2 linked regions of the Diceros bicornis minor genome follow. The protein of the gene in region 2 purifies or fractionates together with the protein of the main gene of each other region. This does not show direct contact. Links are inferred from orthologs where the notes say so. Each region holds a gene or a part of one and is shown on either strand. Other genes may lie near its edges.

The links.
Region 1: the proteins of NPC1 (region 2) and PON2 purify together in Homo sapiens (affinity purification with mass spectrometry; 3 studies listed by BioGRID and IntAct, with this or other methods). This does not show direct contact. The link is inferred for Diceros bicornis minor from reciprocal best matches to the Homo sapiens genes NPC1 and PON2.

What each region holds. Positions count from the first base shown.
Region 1 is NC_080742.1:32,555,213-32,565,976, forward strand, and holds the start of PON2 (serum paraoxonase/arylesterase 2), read right to left. Parts: upstream 4,305-10,764; 5' UTR 4,269-4,304; coding exon 4,195-4,268; intron 1-4,194. UniProt on the Homo sapiens protein: Capable of hydrolyzing lactones and a number of aromatic carboxylic acid esters. Has antioxidant activity. Is not associated with high density lipoprotein.
Region 2 is NC_080755.1:11,835,645-11,846,549, forward strand, and holds the start of NPC1 (NPC intracellular cholesterol transporter 1), read left to right. Parts: upstream 1-6,306; 5' UTR 6,307-6,379; coding exon 6,380-6,436; intron 6,437-10,905. UniProt on the Homo sapiens protein: Intracellular cholesterol transporter which acts in concert with NPC2 and plays an important role in the egress of cholesterol from the endosomal/lysosomal compartment.

The DNA.
Region 1 (10,764 bases), on a different chromosome or scaffold from region 2:
ACTACCTCTAGATCTATTCAAGACTTTAATGAAAACCCCATGTTACTATATCATATATTAATTTTAAAAATAGTTTGGCAATAGTATTTTAAGTATTTAAATTAGTATTAATTTAAATAGTATTCAAGTTTGTTTTGTAATTCTATGTACTTTATTTTATGCACTTAAAAAAATGATGCTGAGGAGTCAGGATTTCACCAGACTGCCAAAGGGATCTATGGCACAAAAAGCCTAAGAACCCCTGCTGAAACAGCACTGTCATCATAGGTAACTTTTACTGAGCACTTCCTATATGTCTGGCATTGTTCAGCACTTTACAAGCATGAACTCATTTATTTTTCACAGCCCCATTCTGGAGCAGGTAGTATTATTCCCATCCTACAGATTAGGTCACTGAGGCACAGAAAGGTGAAATAAAAAGCAAGGTCTCAGGTAAACAACAGAGCTAGGAAATGAATTCAGGCTATCTGGCCACCAAGCATGAATCCTTAACCAACAGTCATTACCACGAAATCAATCTCTATTTCTTTCACTCAGAAACAGCATTACCCATCCAGAGTGGAAGGAGACAGGGGCCATTCATTACTATCCTGCATCATTGTGTGGCGGCAGTCGAGATGCTCCAGGCTGTGGTGCCAACACGCCTTGAGCAAACTGGGAACACAGTGTTATGACCAGGCAGTACTTTGTTCCATATCTTACTGCCTTCCAATTTACAAACTACTGGTGGGGCTTTATCGTTTAAGTACAGACTTAAATATAGACAAACAGGGGCTTTATCTTTTATATACAGACCTGTGAAACCCCTTGGAATTCACCCCTTGGGCCCCTGGAATGCTTGCATGCCTGCACGTAGTAACAAAGAATTTGTGCTCAGGCAAAATTTGCTCCAATGGCAGAGAAGCTAGCAGGCTGCGGCAAACTGTATTTGGAATTAGAAGACCTGGCTTAGAGTACAGTTTCAGCACTAACTACCAGTTGAACTAACTAGTTAACCTCTCCCAGCCTCAGTTTTTACATGTATACTATAGAAAGGACAATATATATGAAGACTAAACGAAAGCATAAATATAAAAGGGCTTTCTTTCCAAACGTCAGTAAACATACATTTTGGTTTAATATAAAGAACTTTTCACACTTTGAACACAGTGACCAGTACACAGTAGTCACACAATAACTGATAAGGAGGATGGTGGTTTAAAAAAAGCCTGACCCTTCAGAAGTGTTCAGAAGCAGACTGGATGGCCTCTTGGTGGAGCTGTCATCAAAGGTGTCAGGTAACAAGCAGAACGTTCAGGTGCTTGTTTTGGGGGGTTCCTGCCCATGCATAGGTCTCTGATGCACTCAAGTCTCAGGATTCATACAAGCATTCAAACAGGGAGCAACCAGCTGGGGATATTTATGTATTTTTATTTTTCCCCTTTATTGCTCAACTAGGGAGGAGTGGAAAAGTTGGGTGTAATAGGCCATCTTCCCCTGGGAACCTTAGCCAGTTACAGTTCAAAAGAAAAGTGACAACTTTGATTCCATTTATCCATCTGGGACACACTTATACTAAAAAATTGTTCATTGTTATTCTGAAATTCAAGTTGAAATTTAAGTGGGCACCCTGGGGGAGAGAGAGAACTCGAGTGCCAAAGTACCATCTCTAAAAATAAAATAATGAAATAGTAGGCACCAGATTAAAGCAAAAAACAAACAAAAAACCTGTTTTTTGAAGAGCCTTTCCTTGTGGGGAAATGGAAACAAGCTGCTTTTTGAAATAGACCCTAAGGGTCTGAAAGGAGAAATGCTATGCATTTGAGCACTCCACCAAACTCTGTAAACAGAAGGCACTTGATATTATACAATCATAGGGCTGCCAGATAAAATACAAGATGCCCAGTTAAATTTGAATTTTAGATAAACAATGAAAGATATTTTAGTATAATTATGTCCCAAATATTGCATGGGATATGCTTATACTAAAAACAGTGATTCACTGTTTATCTGAAATTCAAATTTAACTTGGCCTCCTGCATTTTTATTTGCTAAATCTAGCCACTCATTACTCATCCCAAAATTCTCACATCAGCTAATTTGGACCTTCAACAATCCAATGAAGTTACCACCCTATAAAGTCACTGCTCAATAAAGTTTATTATAGTCAAGTCTTTAAAAAGAAAAGATGCATTAAATTGTAAATTACCTATCAGGTGTGTTCCATGTAAATAAGCTTTATTTACTTTTTTCTTAGGTTTGCAACTATAACATTTATCATTCAAAGGGGCTTAAATTTAACACTTGAAGATTAGTAAGAAGTAAAAATTGACTGTTGATTGAGAAGATGTCAACTTGTGGAACTGGTGGTTCGAACTTCAGGGACCACTTAATGAGTTTGTGAATTTCAGTGGTCTTGCCTTTGAAACTGAGAGCTGGACAGATCATATAAAATCATCCAACTCAAGAATACTCTGTAGAACAGGAGGGGCATTTACACAACGTGGAAATTATGGTCAACATGTCATTTCCTACCAGTAAGCATTCCTCCCCCAACTCTAACCCTGGCCCCAAACACACACTGTTCTTCCTCCTGAATCCCCTTATCAGCTGATGAAGCTACAGCTCCAGGACAGCAGAGCTAAGAACTCTGGTATCACCTCTGACTTCTCCCTCCTCCCTGGGGTTCCAGAGCTTGGGCCCCTGTTATTCTCTCCAAACTACTGCAATACTTTAACTAGTTTCCCCATGTTTATTCACTCCCTATTCTAGTACTTCTCAACTCTAACTGCATATTAGAATTATCAGGAGAATTTTTAAAAATAAAAAATACTCATGCCTGGGCCCCACCCAGACCAACCGGATCAGAATCTAAGGGGGTGCAGCCCAGACATCAGCCCTCCAGGAAATCCTAATGTGCAGCCAAGATTGAGAACTACTGCTCTACTCCAGTCCATCCTTCCAGGTTCATCTCTACTGACGATGCTTTATATGGTTTAAAAAAAACAAAACACAACAAATATCAACAGCCCCCCTTTGCCTATTAAAGTAGGCCCCAATATTTCAACCTATATTTAACCCTCTCAAAACCTATGCTTCCCCCCATCCCTACTATTCTCATCTCTTAACTTTACGCTCCCCTCAAATTGGTCTGTTGCTAGTCTCCAAACGTCCCCACCTTACTCCCTTTGTTCACGCTGCACTCTCCATCTGGATGGCCTCCTTCATCCCCATGTGTGTTTCACCCATCCTTCAAGGCCAAGGTCAAATGTTTCTTCCTCCTGATCTCCACCTTCAGGGGAGGTAATCTTTCCTTCTTAAGCCTGTAGGGGTTGGTTTGTGCCTGTCCTGGACCTCTTAATTGATAAGTTTGTTTTATTTCCTCCCCTGTAATACGGTAAACTTCTTAAGGACTGTGCCTTACTCTAGTACAGGAGTCTAGGAGAGCACACCATACACAGTAGGTGCTCAATATTTCTGGAATTCTTTTGCATGAAGTTTATAAAATTTGAGTTGGTAATTTAGAAACTGTGACGTCTACCCACCGCGTTTTTTCACTATAACTAAAACGCCCGATGGACTAGGCTTGTACTGTTTAGCATTCTGGCCTCAGGGTTCCCGGGGGAAGAGACAAGGAAGTGATGTAAGTACAGCAGCTGAATATCTCAAGCATACTTTGATCTGCAGCGCCAAGATGAGAGAGTTGAAGAGTTTCTCCAACAATGCAGGGGAGGGACGGAGAACAACTTTATTAAAGACGAAGGCTGGTTTGGGCAACAAAGAGAAACAGCACCAATGACCTGAAATAAATCTTTATAATTAAAGTTTCAATGCGTGAATAGTAGCTTTGTTTTCAAGTTAAAGCACTAGGTTTGCCCTTGAGTAATTGCAAAGCACTCGCTTGTCAACTTAGGTAGAAAAGAACTTTGTCAGCAGCAAAGACATAAACTTTCTCGAAAGTCTCGAAATTCGGCCCAAACTGTGTTGGGTTTTGCTAGAAGCTGGGGATGCGTGTGGAGGGCTTCCACCAGCTGGGGAACAGGGAGCAATGCGTGGTTCTTCACCACCGCCGGGGTCCCCGGCGCTCAAATCCCTCCACGGCCTGCGCCCTCTTCAGCAGCCCGCGCGCCACGGAGTCTCCCGGGCGGGCGTCCCGGAGCCTGGTGGCCGGCCGGGCTGCGCGCCGACGGCTCGGTCCGAGAGGGCCCCACCTACCTGAACACCAGGAGCCTCTCGCCCAGCAGGGCCAGCGCGATCCCCAGCAAGCTCAGAGCCACCAGCCGCCCCATGGCGCGGAGCCGGCGCCGCCTCGCTCGGGCCTGGCCGGGGACACTGAGGGCGGCGCCCGCTTCCCCGCTCGGGCCGCGCTCCGCCCCGTCTCCGGCCGGCTTCTGCCCGGGGAGCGGCGGCTCCGCCCTCGGCCGGCCTCGGCTTTTGTCGCCGCAGCCCTGCCTCCCCAGACACCTTCCCCGGGACGGGGAACCGGCCTCTCACGCCCCGTCTATGCTAAAGGCTTGAAACTTGGAATTCCTTCACCTCCTTTCCCAAACAACTCCCGCAAGAAGCTCAGGCAGCCTTTATACTCTTCTCATTTTCCTAGTCTTCAAAAACATTCCTCACTCGATATTCAGTCAGAAACTTCTAGAGTAAAGTTTTAAAGATTTTTTTTATTAAGGGAAAAAATGCTGGGTCATGTCTTGTAAATATTTCATGTTGGAATCACTGCTTTTTGTAACACGGTGTAGATGGGAGGAAAGAAACATCCTATTTCTAGAAATGCTTGGTCTAGACTAGCAACCTAGACCTGGACACTATTTTTTGATCTAAACTCAGTTTATGAGAATAAGAGCAGTTTTGTGTTTTTTTCTTTTTCTTTTCTTTTTCTTACTTTAACAACCATAACATGAATCAAGAAAGAAAAATAAAAAAAGCATAAAAGGGAAACCCACACAGTAAGAGTGAGACAATTGTAGTACTTGAGTATGCCTGAAATAACCTTTTAATGCTTGCCAGTGTTTAACTGCCACTCTACACTATGTAGGCAGAAATGGTCACAATTGCCAATTTTCAACAAACATCAGTTTTATAAGCAACCAGTAAATAAAAGCAGATGCTAGTTTCTCAGCTACCCCTGCCCCCCATCACAAAGATAGATCCTTCTGCTTCTGTATGTGTGTATCTCTGATTCAATCCTTAGATAGAGAACTCTCTATCCTTTGAAAGCCCAGGAGGCTTACGTTTTTTTGCTTCACGGGTCCCTCTGGCAGTAGTGAGCCTATAGATAACTTCCAGAATAATATTTATAAGTACGTACAATAAAATGTACAGGATCGCAAAAGAGACCAATTACATTCAAATGCAATTATCAAAATATTCTTTTAAAAGTTTGTGCTATAGTAATATAGTAATGTGCTGTGTGCTACATTATTAATACATTTGATAACAAGATCTAGCACAATTCTTTCAAATAGTAATGAGCATAAATGTTATTTCAAGATACCTGCAACTCTGTAATGAAATAATGAAAATAATTGTTATTTTCCTTGGGAACAAAGTCATAAGTACTGCTAATGCTTCTGAGGTTTGTTTTCTACTTTTATAGTTGAAGGAGATGCTAAATTTCCTCTGAAATCAAGATTTTTTTTCTCATCCAAGGTCGTGAACCTCTGGAATTCTATCCATGGACCGCTTAGATTCAGAATTCCGCCATAGTTACCCTATGACCAGGTAGGAAGGGGTAGGATCTCTTCTCTTGGGACATTTTTGGTGTCGGTCTTTGGGGAAGAGAAGAGCCTCACATATGAAATCAGAATTTAGAATGAGGACCTAAAACAGAGGCCCTGGGACTATTGCCAGGGTTTCTGTCTTAGGTCTGAGAGTCTTGTTCCAAGCATTCTGGACAGTGAAAATTACATAAAACTATGCCTCATGGACTCTAGGTCAGGAGCCAGCCACAGATGCCCTCCCACATGTGTCACAAAATGAGGAAATCATAAATTATAAATAAGATTACCTTGCTGTGTGCTATTATCTATGTCTATTTCCCTTTTGCTATTCCTAGGCTTTTTAAAAAGTCATGTTCTTAATAGTTCAGCCTGGTTTCAGCTGAAATTAAAGGATTGAAGGTCTGTATCTTTTAGAATGCTCTCAGGATCGCAAACACAGCTCTTGTGCTGACTCCTCCTTCTTCCCTTGCCTACAGCAGACATCACTAATGGATTCTACCAATGTTCCTCACCAAGCCTAGATTTGTCCTCACAATCTTTTCAAACAACACAACAAAAGAGAAATAAAAATCCCCAAGGTAGCCACTGACAGATCTCAATTCAGCATGAAACCTAGTCACCTTCAAGGTGCTTCAAGGGGAATAAGACTCTGGAGTTTAGGAAGGAGGCATTTGTGGCAAAGAACCAGACCTTTCAAGTCCAGCAAAACCTACCTAACTTCAGTCTCAGAGAATCTTGGTGAAACTTTGGTTTAATTTTATTAACATGACCAATGAGTTCCCTCAAACTTGATCTCCTAATTCCTTCATTACTGTAGGCAAAGAGTACTGTAGCTCCATATTCTTCCTCTGAGCGTTGCTGTTGAAACAACTTCTGCAGAAGCAGCCCCTGTCCTTACCCCCATCCCCACCACCATGATAGGGCTAGGAATTGCCATTTCTCACAGGCAGATGGGGAAAAGAGAGATTTTCTGATTTGGAAATCAGGAGCCTATCTTCTCCATTGTAAGAGGTTGGAGAAGATTGGTTATTAAATTTTATAGTACATACCACTCGTTGAATTTTATACTATAGCTTAGCAATCTTTTGAGATAACTGGAATTTATAGGCTACACCAGTATGTAACCCCAGGTTTATGCTATTTCATGGGAAAAATGGTTTCTGACTCCCAAATAACCAAGTTACCCAACACAAAACAAACTTGTTCAGAACTTGTTTGTATGCTGGCAGCTCCTTACACTTGGTATGAAATAGTGTTACTCAAGTAGTGACATATAACCAGTTTATAATTAGAAATTTGATGGTTCTTAAGCAAAATTTCAGAAATAATAACACGTTTTGTCAGTGTTTCTCAGACTACATGTAGTGAAGGACAGGTTTTTCTTCGCCTTTGTAAATGAATTACTAGAAAATGAAGTAAAAAATCAGACATACAAAATACAAGCCCAAATCTCTTATTATGTGATTCAACAGACGTAAAATTACTTTGTCAAATTTCGATAACAGTTTCTAAATGCTTACTATCAAATTTTCATACTTATCTCACCACGGACCAGAAGCAAGAGGTTCACAGACTGAAAATGGTCCTTGGAGCACACTGTAAGTGGACTGCCTTTCACGAGTGTACTTTTAACTGTAAAGTTCCTTGCAGTGCATTCTCACGTGTAATGTTCCTGGTAATTTGTGCAATAGGTGACTCATGATTATTGTAATTTTATATAGTGTGTGATGGGAAGTTGGTCCCTTCATATCCCTTTTATTTCCTTCCTCTCTTTACCTCTGTTTTAAAAAGGGGGCAGATCTTTTAACACAAAAACATTGAAGAGATGTTATAAAGGATAGTTATTATCAGTAAAAGAAAGATTTGCTTTGTATATGCTTCACTCGATGGCTTCTTGGTGGGTGGGGGAGACCACCCCCCAGCCAAGCCAATTCCTGAGAATTCCAATATATTAAAAGTGAAGAAATGCCATAACAGAAACTGAAAAATTGTATATATGTTTTAATATTTATAGTTAACAAATTTACATTCTTCAAATATTAGGTTGAACAATATGAACTTGCTGTTTGTAGAGGTCAAAAACACACACAAATATAAAATACAATGTAGTGTGCTAGTCACAAAATAATTATGCGATTTATAAAAAAATATTCCTGGTTTACTAGAAGAGGAATAGTCCAGTAATGGAACTCAAATTTAATATGAATGAGTTATTTTCAGTTGTGTCAGTGTATCTCTATGACATATGAATAAACAAATTCTGAGATAATGCTGGAAGTCAATCAGATGGCCCATTTGTCTCCACTAGACCCCCGCCTATTCCTACAGAGGGCTGTAGGAGTTGCGGCCTCTCTTCCAGGAGCAGTCAGTCCTTGGAGGGAGAGGACAGAGGGGTAGAAAACACTGGTAAAGAGAAAAGTTGGAAAGACCAGAGACAAGTACTCTCAACCTCCTTTAGAGGCTGACTCTGTATGGCCTGAACTCTATGGAAAAAGTAAAGACATGTTTCCCCCATTCTAGGAAATACATGCATGTTTTCCATATTCTAATAGCAATAATGTTTCTAGTTATCTATTAATGAACCATACCTGAACCTCTTTCAAAGTAACAACCATAGCTATTTTCATTGAACATTTCCAGTTCCACATACATTATATACACTACTTCATTTAGTCCCCATAACAACCATTTGCATTAGGTACAATTATTATCTCCAATTTATAAGTTGTGAAACTGAGGCCAGAGGTTAAGTATCTTGCGCAGGGTTACACACCTAGCAAACGGTGGAGCCAGAACCCAATATAAGAAAATTTATATTAAGACCTCATTTCCACCCCTGATATAGCTTTTGTTAATTGTCAGATAAAAAGATTTCTGTTCCTTTGCTAGAGCAGAGATGAATGAACTGGTAGTCAGAGTTGTAGAGAAGGATCTTGTGTGGACTTTCATGAGGGAGAGTTTTTAAAATTAGGTTGCTTTGTTGCTTTTTATACTTTTCCTCTGCCTGCCTGCATTACTTCACTTAATATTTATTGAGTATGTTCTGCATCTCCAAGGAGTTACTGGGAATTCAAAATAAAGGAGTCATACATTCCTCTGTTGGTGGTGGTCATAGTTCAGTGAGAGGCAGGCACCTGGACAAACATATGCAATGAATGTTATGTGTCAAGGGCTAAGAACTTTGATCTTTATTCAGTATGTGATGTAAGGCCACCAAAGCCTTTTAAGGAAGGGAGAGACATTCATGTTTTACAAAGGTCACTCAGACGGCTGTGGCAAGGTGAGTTGGAGTATATTTCCCAAGTCTACTTGAGAGAAGATACAGATGTGAACAAGGCAGAGGCAGTGGGGAGGAGAGGGAGGAGATTTAAGGAATTTCAGAGATTGAATGGGTAGAGATGGGTGACTGATGAGATGCGGGGGAAGGAGGAGTTGAAGATGGCTTAGGTTGTTCAAATGGGTGAATAGGGTTACACTAACTGGGACGGGAGAGGAACAGATTGGGGTGGCAGGGACAGGGGAAGTTTGATGAGCACATTTGATGTTCTCGAAGTCCAGGAGACAATTACAGACAAGTTTCCAGTGCTCAGGAATGAGGTCTTGTCTGGACATGGAGACTTGGAGATCATTAGCAGAGAGTGCAGCAAGCTGAACAGAGGACCTTCAAGAAGGTTTGAGGTTGTAGCCTGAAGTGAAGTGGTATACGTAAAAGTCCCAAAAGCTTTATGGGTGTGTAAGTGGCTAGGAGGCAGGTTGAAAAGTGGGAAAGGGATGGGGAGTTAAGAATTGAATTGAGTGTTAGAGATCACCTTAAACTAGGGAAAGCAGATACTGGCTTAGAGATGGTCATTTTCCTTTTCTCCTGAATCTGGATGCGACCTTGAAGTTCTTCATGTTGTGGTGCTCCAGGCAGTCACTCCTTGTCCATGGAGACTGAAATCTATTTGCTATCCCTGCATAGGGACTGAGAACTGTGTGGAAGATAGAGGTAGGGGAGATTGGAAAGAAATCTCCAGAGTTATTTGTGCTTGGCATAAGACAGCCCCTCTCCTAGCCACTATACCTTCTCTTGCAGGAGTGACATGAGAGCCCTGGAGCGGGCTTCTGGAAGATCTCTCTCTTCTTTAACACTTACTACCTCACCTCCAATATCTGTGTAATCTCATTAGGCCCTTTATTCCTATGTTATGTGGTCACCATGAAAAGCTCAGGCTCCCTAGTCAACCTTCATCCTACAGGCTCTCTTCCCATATGGCTGAGTACTTTCTCCCATCTCCCTAATCCCCACCCCTCAACCCTTTTGTTGTGTCCTCTGGAACTCATAGTCAGTCATAACAAAATCCTCTATATACTCAATGTCTTCTCTAAATATTCTCTTCAACTTTCTGTGTTATCTGTTGGCCCCCAACCCCAAGACACTTTCCCATCTGTCCTAGAAGTTTCTAGCTCTGGCTCACAATCACTCCATTTTATACTACACTGTCAAAATTCTTGGTAATTTTAACATCCAGATATGCAATTTTTCCAGACCCAACTTTTCAGTTCCATGACCTCCTTTCCTCCAATGACCTGGTCTCTGCCCTACTTTGCCTCCTACTCCTATTGTTAGACTTGAAGATTTTGCCATTACCGGTACTTGCAACACCTCCAAAATCTCAATTTGAAGATTTCATTTTCCAATCATCACCTCTTATCTTTTTAGCTCATTCCCTCTGGTACTCCACTTTTGAAAGTTCTTTGACCTTGTTTTGACATGTGACTTCTTTTTTAAAAAGTCAGTACACTGCACACATACTCCATTTAATTCCACTTTGCAAAGTGCTGATTCTGTATAATGTGGTTTTTCACTGAATAGCCCATGTATATATATAATTCCAGCATAGTATACTGTAAGTTTATGTATTTTTCCTACCTTCTGAAAGTGACCATATATTCTTATCTAGTATGAACTAGTGAAAAACTCTTCTGGTAATTTCTTCAGGTAGGTGAGTTTTCTGAAAAATGCATTATTTCTTCCTTTGAGTACCCTTTCCTGCCATTTATTCTTTGTTTTGGTGAA
Region 2 (10,905 bases):
ACCCAGAGTTAAATTTGTTTACGCAGTTAGTGAGGGAGGTCAAATTTCCGTCAGAGAAAATAATCAAGGTAAAGAGACATATTTTGAGGTGGCCAATTTTGATCTCCCATAATGGCAAACGTGATGGCATGTCCCTTTTGAGGATAGATCATAAAAGACATTGTGGCTCTGCCTTGCTCTCTTTTGGATCACTCACTTTGGTGGAAGCAGCTGCCAAGGCTTGAGAACACTCAAGCAGCTCTATGGAGCAGGCCATAGGGAGAGGAACCAAGGCCTCCTGCCAGCAGCATCTTGGAAGCAGATGCTCCAGCCATAGTCAAGCCTTCAGATGATGGTAGCCTGGGCTGACATCTTGACCACACCTCATGAGGGAGCCTGAGCCAGAACCACCCAGAACCACCCAAATCCCTCACCGACGGAAATTGTGATATAATAAGTGGTCTTTTAATCCACTAAGTTTTGGGATAATTTGTTATGCAGTAATAGATAACTAATATAAGTGTGGAGTATGTAAAATTCATTGAGCTGTACATGTAAACTTTGTACACTTTATATATGTATATCTTAATAAAAAAAGTAAAAAAGAAAAAAGTCTATTACCCAAAGAGGGTCTCAAAAATCCTCAATCTGAAACTCCCTAGGCTTTAACTCAAGGCTCAAGGTCTATATTTCACCAAAATGTGTTGGCAGTGTGTAGCCTGACAGAGGGAGACAGGTGTGAGCTGGTCATCTGCTCCTGTTCCCTCTGTTCAACTGGACAGGCTTCTACTACCTACAGGTGCTTCTTTTAGAGCCAGCTCTAGCTGCTGGTCCTGCATCGTTTTGGGGCAATCTATCAGCAAAACTTACAATGTCTGTAAATAGTACAGGGAGTTATACAGCATTAGCAGCAAAAACAGGCCAACTTCTCCACTAGGCATGGTAGACACAGTGCCTAGTGTTCCCAATAGTTTTAAGGTCCCATGAAAATGTTTTAATTTTAATTTATTTTAAAATAAGAAGAAAAATAAGAATATAATAATAATGAATATATAATAATAAATCCATCCTGGATTATATCTGTCTTTATACCAATACAGTTATAAAATATAACTTTCAGTGTCTTTTTTTTAAGGAAGAAAGGGCCCCTAAAGGCAAAGGTGACTAGAGCTCACAAAAGTCACAATGCAGCCCTGAGCAAAGGAAGGGGTGCTACGGACTGAACTGTGTTCCCCCAAAATTCATATGTTGAAGCCCTAACCCCCAATGTGTTAGTATTTGGAGACAGGACTTTTAGGAGGTATCTAAGGTAAATAAGGTCATAAGGCTATAGGGCCTTAATCCGATAGGATTGGTGGCCTTAGCAGAAGACGAAGAGGAAGAGAGTGATCTCTCTCTCTCTTCACACACATGCACCAAGGAAAGGCTGTGTGAGCACACAGGAAGAAGGTGGCCATCTACAAGCCAGGAAGAGAACCTTCACCAGAAAGTGAACAGGCTGGTATCTTTATGTTGGACTTCTCAGCCTCCAGAATGGTGAGATATAAATCCCCGTTTTTAAGCCACCCAGTCTATGGTATTTTGTTACAGCAGCCTGAGCTGACTAACACAAGGGGGAAAAGTAAAAAAATGTGAGCAAGGTGAAGCAGCGACAGGTCCATCAGCAACTGGCTCAGATATCACCAGGCGAAGTTGGTTGCATCCTAGTACCCCAGAAGCCCAGCTCTATCTTCATTTTCTATTATTGAACTTCAGTTTTTGAGTAGAAACCAGGCAAGCTTGCAGTCTGTGCAGTAGTGAGGCATTCCTTTTTCTTTGCTCACTTGAATCACTGCCTACTTTGAAGTTTCCACATCAGCAGAAGGTAAAAAAAAGCTTCTATAGTAAAAGAAATCAAAATTATTTCATTGTAATGAAATTTTATTAACATGAATATACATCCCTAGTCTAGAAGATGAGATATAGTTGGTGCTTAGCCAATGAGGCAACCCAGGAGAGTGACGGTTAAAGAAGAACATGCTTTATGGAGGACAGCAAGATTATTCATGTGGAACGCTACTAAGAGATCAAGTGAGATGAGACCAAAGGAGTTGTCATTGGACTTGGCCACACAAAACCAATGATGATCTTAAGAGGAGCAGGTATCCATGTGACTGCCTAGCCTTTGGGGGATGAGGGGGGCTGGGTCCTTACATCACTCATCACAGCAAAATAATTCCAGATGGATCATTATTTTCATGAAATCATTAAAACTCTAAAAGAAAACATGAAATAATTTTTTATAATCCTGAAAACTAGTAAATTAGTAAAAGTATGTGCAACACATATCCTAGACCAAGTTAATTTTCTTAATAAATAAAGAGCTTTTACAAATCAATATGAAAAAGAATATCTAACAGAAAATGAAGAACACAGAAAAAGAAATAAAATCATTTATAAATGAATAGATTATTTTTCCCCCTTTGGTGAGGAAGATTAGCCCTAAGATAACATCTGTTGCCAATCTTCCTCTTTTTGCTGAGGAAGATTGGCCTTGGGCTAACATCTATGCCCATCTTCCTCTACTTTATATGTGGGACGCTGCCACAGCATGGCTTAATAAGCGGTGCATAGGTCCATGCCTGGGATCCAAACCTGCAAACCCCGGGCTGCCAAAGCAAAATACGCAAACTTAACCACTAAGCCACCGGCCTGCCCCCCAAAAGATTCTTAATCTCACTAATAATTAATAAAATACAAATTAAAGCATCACAATATTTTTTAAAATATGTAAAATCAGATGCCATTTTTCACCTATAAGAATGGCAAAGATAAGTGTTGGCAAGGATGTGGGAATCAGGCACCTCCATATGTTGTTGGCAAAGGTATAAACTGCAATCTGTTTGGAGGACAATTGGCAGTAATAAAAATTAAAATGAACATTTCCTTTGATCCAACAATAAGTTCTTCCAAGAGTTCTATATGTATATGATTACAATGATTTAGGTACAAGGATGTTCATTGCATCATTGTTTCCAGTAACAAAAGTGACAAACTGAATGTCCAACAGGAGATTGGTTAAATAAATTATATAATGGATCAAAAACTACTAACATGACTATTTCTAGCCTTCCCCTTCCATCTGCTAGGTAAAGAGAATTTTGTCTTAGGTCAGTGTTCTTATTTCTCTCCCTAAGGGAAACGTTCAACAGCTTTTGGACTTCTGTGATGCAGTATATGAGGAGAGCGGAGGGTACATAAAGATGCAAAGCTTTGTGGAATCTAGACAAGCTCAGGAATGTGAGGAAGCAGATAGAAAAGGAAAGGTGATTTTTTTCGATATTACTGGAACCATACAAACCCTTCACATGTACCAGAAGTGCAATTTGAGAACTCGAGTTATTTTGAAATACTTGGTTGGTGAGCTATATTTCATTGACTTAGGCACTACTCTGAGACTGACCTACATCATTCTGGCTTTGGGAATGTTACATACACACAGAAAATTCTATAGGGCTAGTAAAAGCAGTGAGGTGAAGAAGCATACTGCTAAATGTAAAAAAGCAAGCTGCAAACTGTATCTATATAGTCCCACTTGTTTAAAAAGTCCATATATTATATTCACATATATGTCTTCAAATGCATAGAAGTTTTCTGGAGGATATTTCTGCACATTTATAAAGAGGCATATGTCTAATAATTTCATTTTCCCTCTTGTCCTTTATTATGAGGCAGTCAATATTGAATTGGTGTTTATAATGATAGTGATATTGAGTATTATTTGAACAAAGTTTCTCTTAGGATCTCAACTATGTTAAAACAATTTTCATAGGAGAAAGTGCATCACAATGTGACATAGCTTATCCATAGTAGTGGAATTATAAATTATTTTTTTATTGTAGTCTCTAAACCTTTCTGTATTTTCAAAGTCTCTAGCATAAGCATGCATTATTTTGTTATCAGCAAAAAACATTTCTCTTAAAACTATGACAATTGATTTTAAAAATATTTCCTAGGCTTTTGGGCATGTTGAAGCTGTATGAAAAACAGAGCCAGACAAAAATATATGGCAAAAAGATCTTTTTGTTACTGTTTTGTAGCTGAGCAAAAAGCAGCTTCTGCTCACCACAATCTGGTGCCAATCAATTGCAAACAAGCCAGTGGTTGAGAAAGGAAAATTTATTTTCCGATTAGCTAGCATAATCGGAGGATGGCAGACTAGTGTCCTAAAGAACCATCTTAAAATCACACAGAATCTTGAGGCAGTTATATAGGGGAAATGAGTAGGGAAGGAGGGTGTTTAAGGATGTTGACCATCAGGTGTGACCAACTTCAAGACACCACATTATCTTTCTTTTGTCATTCGTGATGGATACCAATGCAGCATTTTTCTTTCTGGAGGCCATCACGCTCCTGGGGAACTCAGAGAACAAAGTTATCTTATCACAGCTGGGAGACATATGTAAGCAAAGTCATAGAACTAGCAGCTCATGTATTTTGCAAAAGCAAGAGGAGCTTAATCATCTAGGCTAGAGTGCATTCTCAGAGACTAGTGAGTCAGGGTCATAGTTAAAATATTGCTGCTTTCCCTAAGATGCCTTCCTTCATGCTAACTTAAGATCTGTTACAGTTTTAGTGAATGGTGGACACAATTTGTGGGGCATCGAAATTTCTGCCCATTCCAGAATGTCTCATATGGTGCTTGAAATTTCCTTTATTCAAGTCAATCATTTAGTAAAGATTTTTGTTGGTTTGTTTGTTTTTTCCCATAAGGACTGTACTAAACTTAGAAGAGCAACTAATCTACCAGGATCCAGAGAATACATTACAGCAGTGTTCTGGAATTTGAGTGTGCACTGGAACCACCTGGAGGGCTTGTTAAAACACAACCAGCTGGGCCCATACCCAGAGTCTCTGACTCAGTGGGTCTAGAGTGCAACCGGGAATTTGCGTTTCTAACAAGGTCCCAGGTACTGCTGCTGCTGCTGGTTCAGCGACAACACTCTGAGGACCCCTGCATTACAGCATACTACTTTATCTCAGTTCACCAGGAGCAGGAGAGCACACAGTTGGATGAGCGCCAGGAGGTCGTCAAGGAAAATCTAGGGCTGAAGATCCAGAGGAAATCCCTATAGTTTTAGTGCGGAGCCAGCCAGGTGGACATCACAGGGCTGAGGAGGTGGGGAGGCAAAGACAGTAACTGAATCAGCCGCTTTGTAGAGTAGGGATGAGAATGTCACCTACATCATGGTTCTACTGGCACTGGGTCTGATCATTGTTGCAGCTGGATATTGTCTTTTCATTGTAAACTGGCTTCTCCTGTTGGGAGAAGAGATCCTTACCTCCATTTCCTTAACTTCAAAATGGAAATGACTCATGCTTTTGAGAGGTCTCAATAATTGAAGTCAGAGGGGAAATGTTACCGGAAATGCATATAATAAAAATAAGTGCAAGACCAAAAAAGATTATGATAAGTGCAAAGCTCAAAAATGAAAATGCTTCTCCTTTATCTTTGTGTTACTTGACTTAGAACAAAAAAAATGGACTCCGGTCCCATCTCTGGGTCAAACTTCCCGGGGGTGACGGGAAGCCCCCCCACGGCTTCACTGCCACGCTTGGCTCCGCCAGCAGATAGAGCGGTTCTAGCGCTTTTCCGAACGTGGGCTGAGAGGCCAGTGAACGGAGATTGGGTGGCTCAGCAGCGCCGCCCACCGCCGCACTCCTCCCCTCGCGCTCTCTCGGATCACAACACAGTCAGGCCACAGCGCGGCTCCGCCCCGAGGTTTGCTACAAGCGCCCAGGGGTGGATTCCTTCGGGGTGACTGGGCTCGGGAGAACTTGCTCGGAGTGCTATTTGGGGCCGAAATAAACACATATTCCGCTGAGGAGTGGGGTCTTAATTGGGAAAACAGTCTCCAAGCACTCCCATTCGCTAAAACCTTCTCGCACAAGGTCTCCAACTCAGGAAAGACAAACGGGAGAAATGATTTAAAGCATCAAAACCATACACTTTTGGCACAACTCTAGAAATATCCTCCCAGGCCGGATTCCAAAAGTTCATCTCCCCGGCTCGGGGAGTCCCGGCCGCACGCCTCGGCCCGAGAAGCCGCAGGGCGGAGGAGGTCGTGCCGCCGGCCTGGCACTGCCCGGTCGGGCCCCGCCCCCGCCCCGTCTGGGCCTCGCCCCTGTCCCGCCCACCCCGGGCCGGCCCCGCCCCAGAACTGGCCCAGGGCGTCACGGCAGCTGCGCCTCCCCCAAAAGGGGGAGGAGCCGACGACGCCTAGTTCCTTCCTGACCTGCGCGCGCAGCCCGCCGCCTCTGACGCCCGCTCCCTGAATCAGCCGGCGCGGTGTCCTGAGACAGCCCGGGACGACGAGCCGGCCGAGCCGCTGCCGGCGTCCTCTCCCTGCCCCGCCGCAGCATGGGCGCGCGCGGCCCGGCCCTCAGCCTCCTCCTGCTGCTGCTCTGTCCCGCGCAGGTGAGCGGCTGCCAGCCACCCGGGCAGGCTGTGGGGACTTGGCGGGGCCGCGAGTTGGGGGGCGGCGGGCCATGCAGCGGCTCAGGCGCCCCCGTCCCCCGAGGGGCGCGGGTCCAGCCGGTCCCGGGGAAGTTGGTCTAGCAGTGGAGCCCCTGGAGGTCCCCCATGTCTCCGGTTTCTCTCTGCAGCCAGGCACTTGTCCCTGAGGTCTGCAAGGGGATGGCAACTGGGAGCTTCTTGCTGACCTGTTTTGAGCTCATTCAGCTGTGGTCACCTAATTTCTGGGTTTAGGATGTGGGAGCCGAGGGAAGGAGGAAAAGGGGTAGAGAGGGATAAGAATCTTATTTATTTAACCTGCCTTTAAAAAAAAAATCTGCCACATGCACTCGAACTCGATGAATATATTTAGAAGATCCGACCACTTTATTTCCCCTTCTGCTCCCCTAAAGATGAAGTTGGGAGGGAAGGTAAAGAAAGGAAATAATTCATCAAGCATCAAATTAGAATAGTCCTAAGTACTTGACGTAAGTCAGCTCGATCTTCTAAAGAGTGCAAGTTACTTCTTATCAACTAATTCCCTTTTACATCTTTGGAAACTGAGGCCCACGGAGGGGGGTGGTGAGGGGGTAATTGAATTTCCCCTTGTCATAGTTCTAGCTAGCGACAGGATGGGCCCTGGAACTCGATGTCCTGACTCTCTGGGTCGGCTTTTCCTTGGTTTAGTAGCCTTGAGCATGAGCACCTCACTGCTGTTTGTGTGTCTGTGATTTTCTCCTTTAAAACTATGGGGGTCGGAAGTAATGTTTAAGGATATAGTGCTGATTAAACCGGATCAGGATGAAAGATGAGTGAGCCTCTGGGAATCCTGTGCCCTTGTACACACTCTAGGTGTGTCAGTAATGAAGGGATAGTGAATCAGAGGGGAAGGCAGATTAAGGGGTTTCCCTGGACTAGGAAAACCTCACCTTAAACTTCTCTGTAGTTCTCAGGCAGAAATAGGTGATGCTGACTCAGTAAGGACCTGACACCAGGAGAAGAGCTGTGGCTTCCTCTTCCCTTGTGTATGGGGGGATCCCCAGCACTGTGGGCTTGTGGAGGAGCACACATCTGGTGCCTGGTTAGGAGGGGAGGCAGTGGGATGGGATCAGCGGCTAGACTGCTTACTAGCTCTGTGGCTTTGGGCACGTTATTCTTTCAAGGCTCAGTTTTTTCTGAAGATAAAACTTCATAGGATTATTGGGGTTATTAAGTAACATGGTATATGGAGAGACCTCATCAATATAGTAAAAATTCAAGGACTAATAACATTTATGTGCCTAAAGAAAATACAGCGATTCAGTTTCCTAGAGTTTTAGGTAGGGATCTAATAGTTAGGCTTCACATTAAGTAGCTGTAATTTACCTCTGAAATCCTTTTACCTCAAGGCAGTATCCAAGGCTGATGGCCGGCCTTGGATACTGGGCTCTCCTCCTAGGACTTTCAGGCTAGGTCAGAGGTTGGTCATGAGTCTCTTGCAAAACACTTAGAATCCTTGAGAAGTTCTGTAAATCTGAACTGGAAACATTCCTGTCGTTAGTCTGCAAATTAACTCCCTCGTGTCTGCGAGGCTCTCGGTACACCTGAACAGATGGGCGGGAGGGGTCTTTTAGAATACTTACCTGTGATAGCAGCTCCTTTGGGTTCAGTCTGAGCACTAAGAAAGTTCTGTCATGGGATTACAGACTAACTGTCCTTTGTAAGGCCTGAAATACATTTTGGGGGAATTTTTGCTTTTCATAATTTTAAATTTTTACAGAGGATGAAATAGCATTACTAGACTGCATGGTTTTTAAACCTTGTGGTCGTCCAAATAATGTCTGCAGTTTTGAGAAATAGTATATATCTCTCCTGACTGTAGTTTTTATAAACTTTTTCTTGGGGAGCTTGGGACAGAGTGAGGCTTGGGTAGGAATTCAGCCGTTAAAATGGCTTTTCCCGAGGTTGGAAATGAGTTATCCTTTCGGCCTGAGAGCATTGAAGAATAACCATCTGAAACTGGAGCAAATGTGGGTAATCTTTCCCAGTGTCTCCCACTCCTTGATGGATGCTGTGATCAGATGTCTTACTAACAGAAGTAATCAAAAGAAGATGAGGTTTTTTTATTTTAGCAAGTGGGCAGAAAGAAAACGACTTGCTGAATAGGTCTTTGTATTCCTTCAGTGTTTGTCCCATTACCCGGAACAAAGAATCCCTCTGGGCGTGAAGATGGTATCATCTCATTCCAGGGTCACCCTATCCCACCCTCCACTCCTGAAAGGGATGCTTTTTGGGGTGTTTTAAGGATGACACATTACCTACTGCAGAAGCCTGGATTGGGCCATCTCTAATCTGATCTCAGGTGCCCCTTTCTGCCCTTTCAGCCACAGCTCTGTAAAGGGCGTCAGCGCTCCAGCCAAATTAAACTGCTTACTCTCAAAACCCTGCCTATCTTTGAAGGCCAGTTCAATGCTACATCATCCGTGACATTGTTATCCTGTTCCCCCAACTAAAATGCCATCCCTCTAAAGTCCTAAATCTTTGTTGAAACTGCTGCGGCAGCATTTACTGCCTGGCAAAAGACTTTTGAGTTCAGAGACCTGGGGGTGGGTCTTGACTCTTCCTCTTACCAAGAGTGATCTTGGGCAGACCAGTTATCCTATGGCACCTGTCTCCTTCTCTGTAAAATTGGTTAACAGCTATGCCTACTTCTCAGGGCGCTTGTGGAAAGACAGAGAAATATTGTATGAATTGAACTACTGGATTGCAGGCTCCTTGAGGGCAAGAACTATATGTTACCATCTGCAATATGGCCAGGACTCTTGGCTTTTACTCTTCTGAATCACCAAATCATTGGGCCTTCAGTGGCTTCAGATGAGGGGGCAAGATGGGGAGGGATTCAGAGGCTGGTGGAGATCAGGACTGGATTTACAGCTGGTTTCTGGGTGATAGCAGTGTTCAGCTGTGGCCCAACAAGTTTCCCTGTGCTTGGACCATGCCTCTTAGTCTTTGGAATATTTGCTTTGTCAAGAAAACTTAAAAAAAAAAAAAACCCTCTCTCTGATGCAAGTGTGCTGTTGGAGGTTTTGAGAAGGAAGCTTTAAAATTTGTTCTTATTACTATCCTTAGGCCACAGAGGACCTCAAACTACTGTCATTCACTAATTTCATAAATATAAAGTGGTTGCTATGGACACAGTGTAGGATACAAAAGTAGATCAAAAGAATTAACCTATGTGGAAAGATGTCTATAAAGTGCTATGTGAATGTTAGTAGTTACTATCCCTGTCTTGTTCATAGTTGATGGGAGGAAGGGTGAATACATTAAAAAAATTACAATGGAAAGTACTCTCATAAAGATAAGGACAAATGTTTTGGGGAGTCCATTTTTGAGCTGAACTTTGGAGGGTGAATTAATGCTTCAGGGGTGGTGGACAAGAGGAAAACTGGAGACAATGGGGGAGAAGTTACCTAATTGTTACTAAAAACCATTCAACTGTATACGTGAAAAGGGTGAATTTTATGGTAAATTATCTCAATAGCGCTGTTTTAAAATGACATTCTAGATTACAAGAGACTAAAGAAAAAGGAGTTACCTAACTTTTGCATAGTGCTGCCTGCCATGACACGTCTGAGCTTGTTTTAACCTCACAGAACCCCTTTAGGTAGGTGTGATGCTCTTTTTCCTGTTTTGCAGATGTGAGTGTTAAGGCTCAAGTTTGCCCCAAGGTCACATAGCTAGTAAATGGCAGACTGGGGGCTTGAGCCACCGTCTCTGACTTCTATGCTCTAATTTATTCAAATTCAAAATATTGTTACCAGATTATTCATGTTTAGCAAGGCAAGTTGATGGCTGTTCAGCAGATGTTCCCCTTGGCCAATAAGGCATCTCATTCAAGGCATGCTCCTGGCTCCAGTGTGGCTTCTGCAAAAGCCAGTGGTAAATCAGGGGTAGATTTAGCCTGCTGGCTTGACCCAAGGTTCAGTTGCCATGCTCTGTGAACATTCCATAGGAAAAAGCCTGCAGGCGGTATATATTCCCACCTACTTTCATGGTTTTGTTTTTGTCTTGTGGCTTTTGGGTTGTTTTTTCAAACTTGAGGGTACTGGAGCTCATAAATGCCTAATACTAACTAGTAGTATGACTGTGGGCAAGTCACTTAAGGAAACTGCAAGCTAGAGGAGTTATCTATCAAGTGAAGACTAGCTGAGCCCATCTAACTCTAAAACTGTGACTTAAACACTTATCTACAGGCGAGCTTGGTGTTCACACAAATTATCCTTTGTTATGTGGATATGTTTATGCCAGTTGGCTGTAAAACAGAGTTCCCAAGATTTCCATCAGTTGAAGTCAGACCAGGCCAGCCTCCACCCCAAATGTCCTGCCATTTGGTCCGCCTACTTGACTGCAAAGGAAACAGCAGGGAGCTTAACCTCTGGACAGGATTCTAGTGC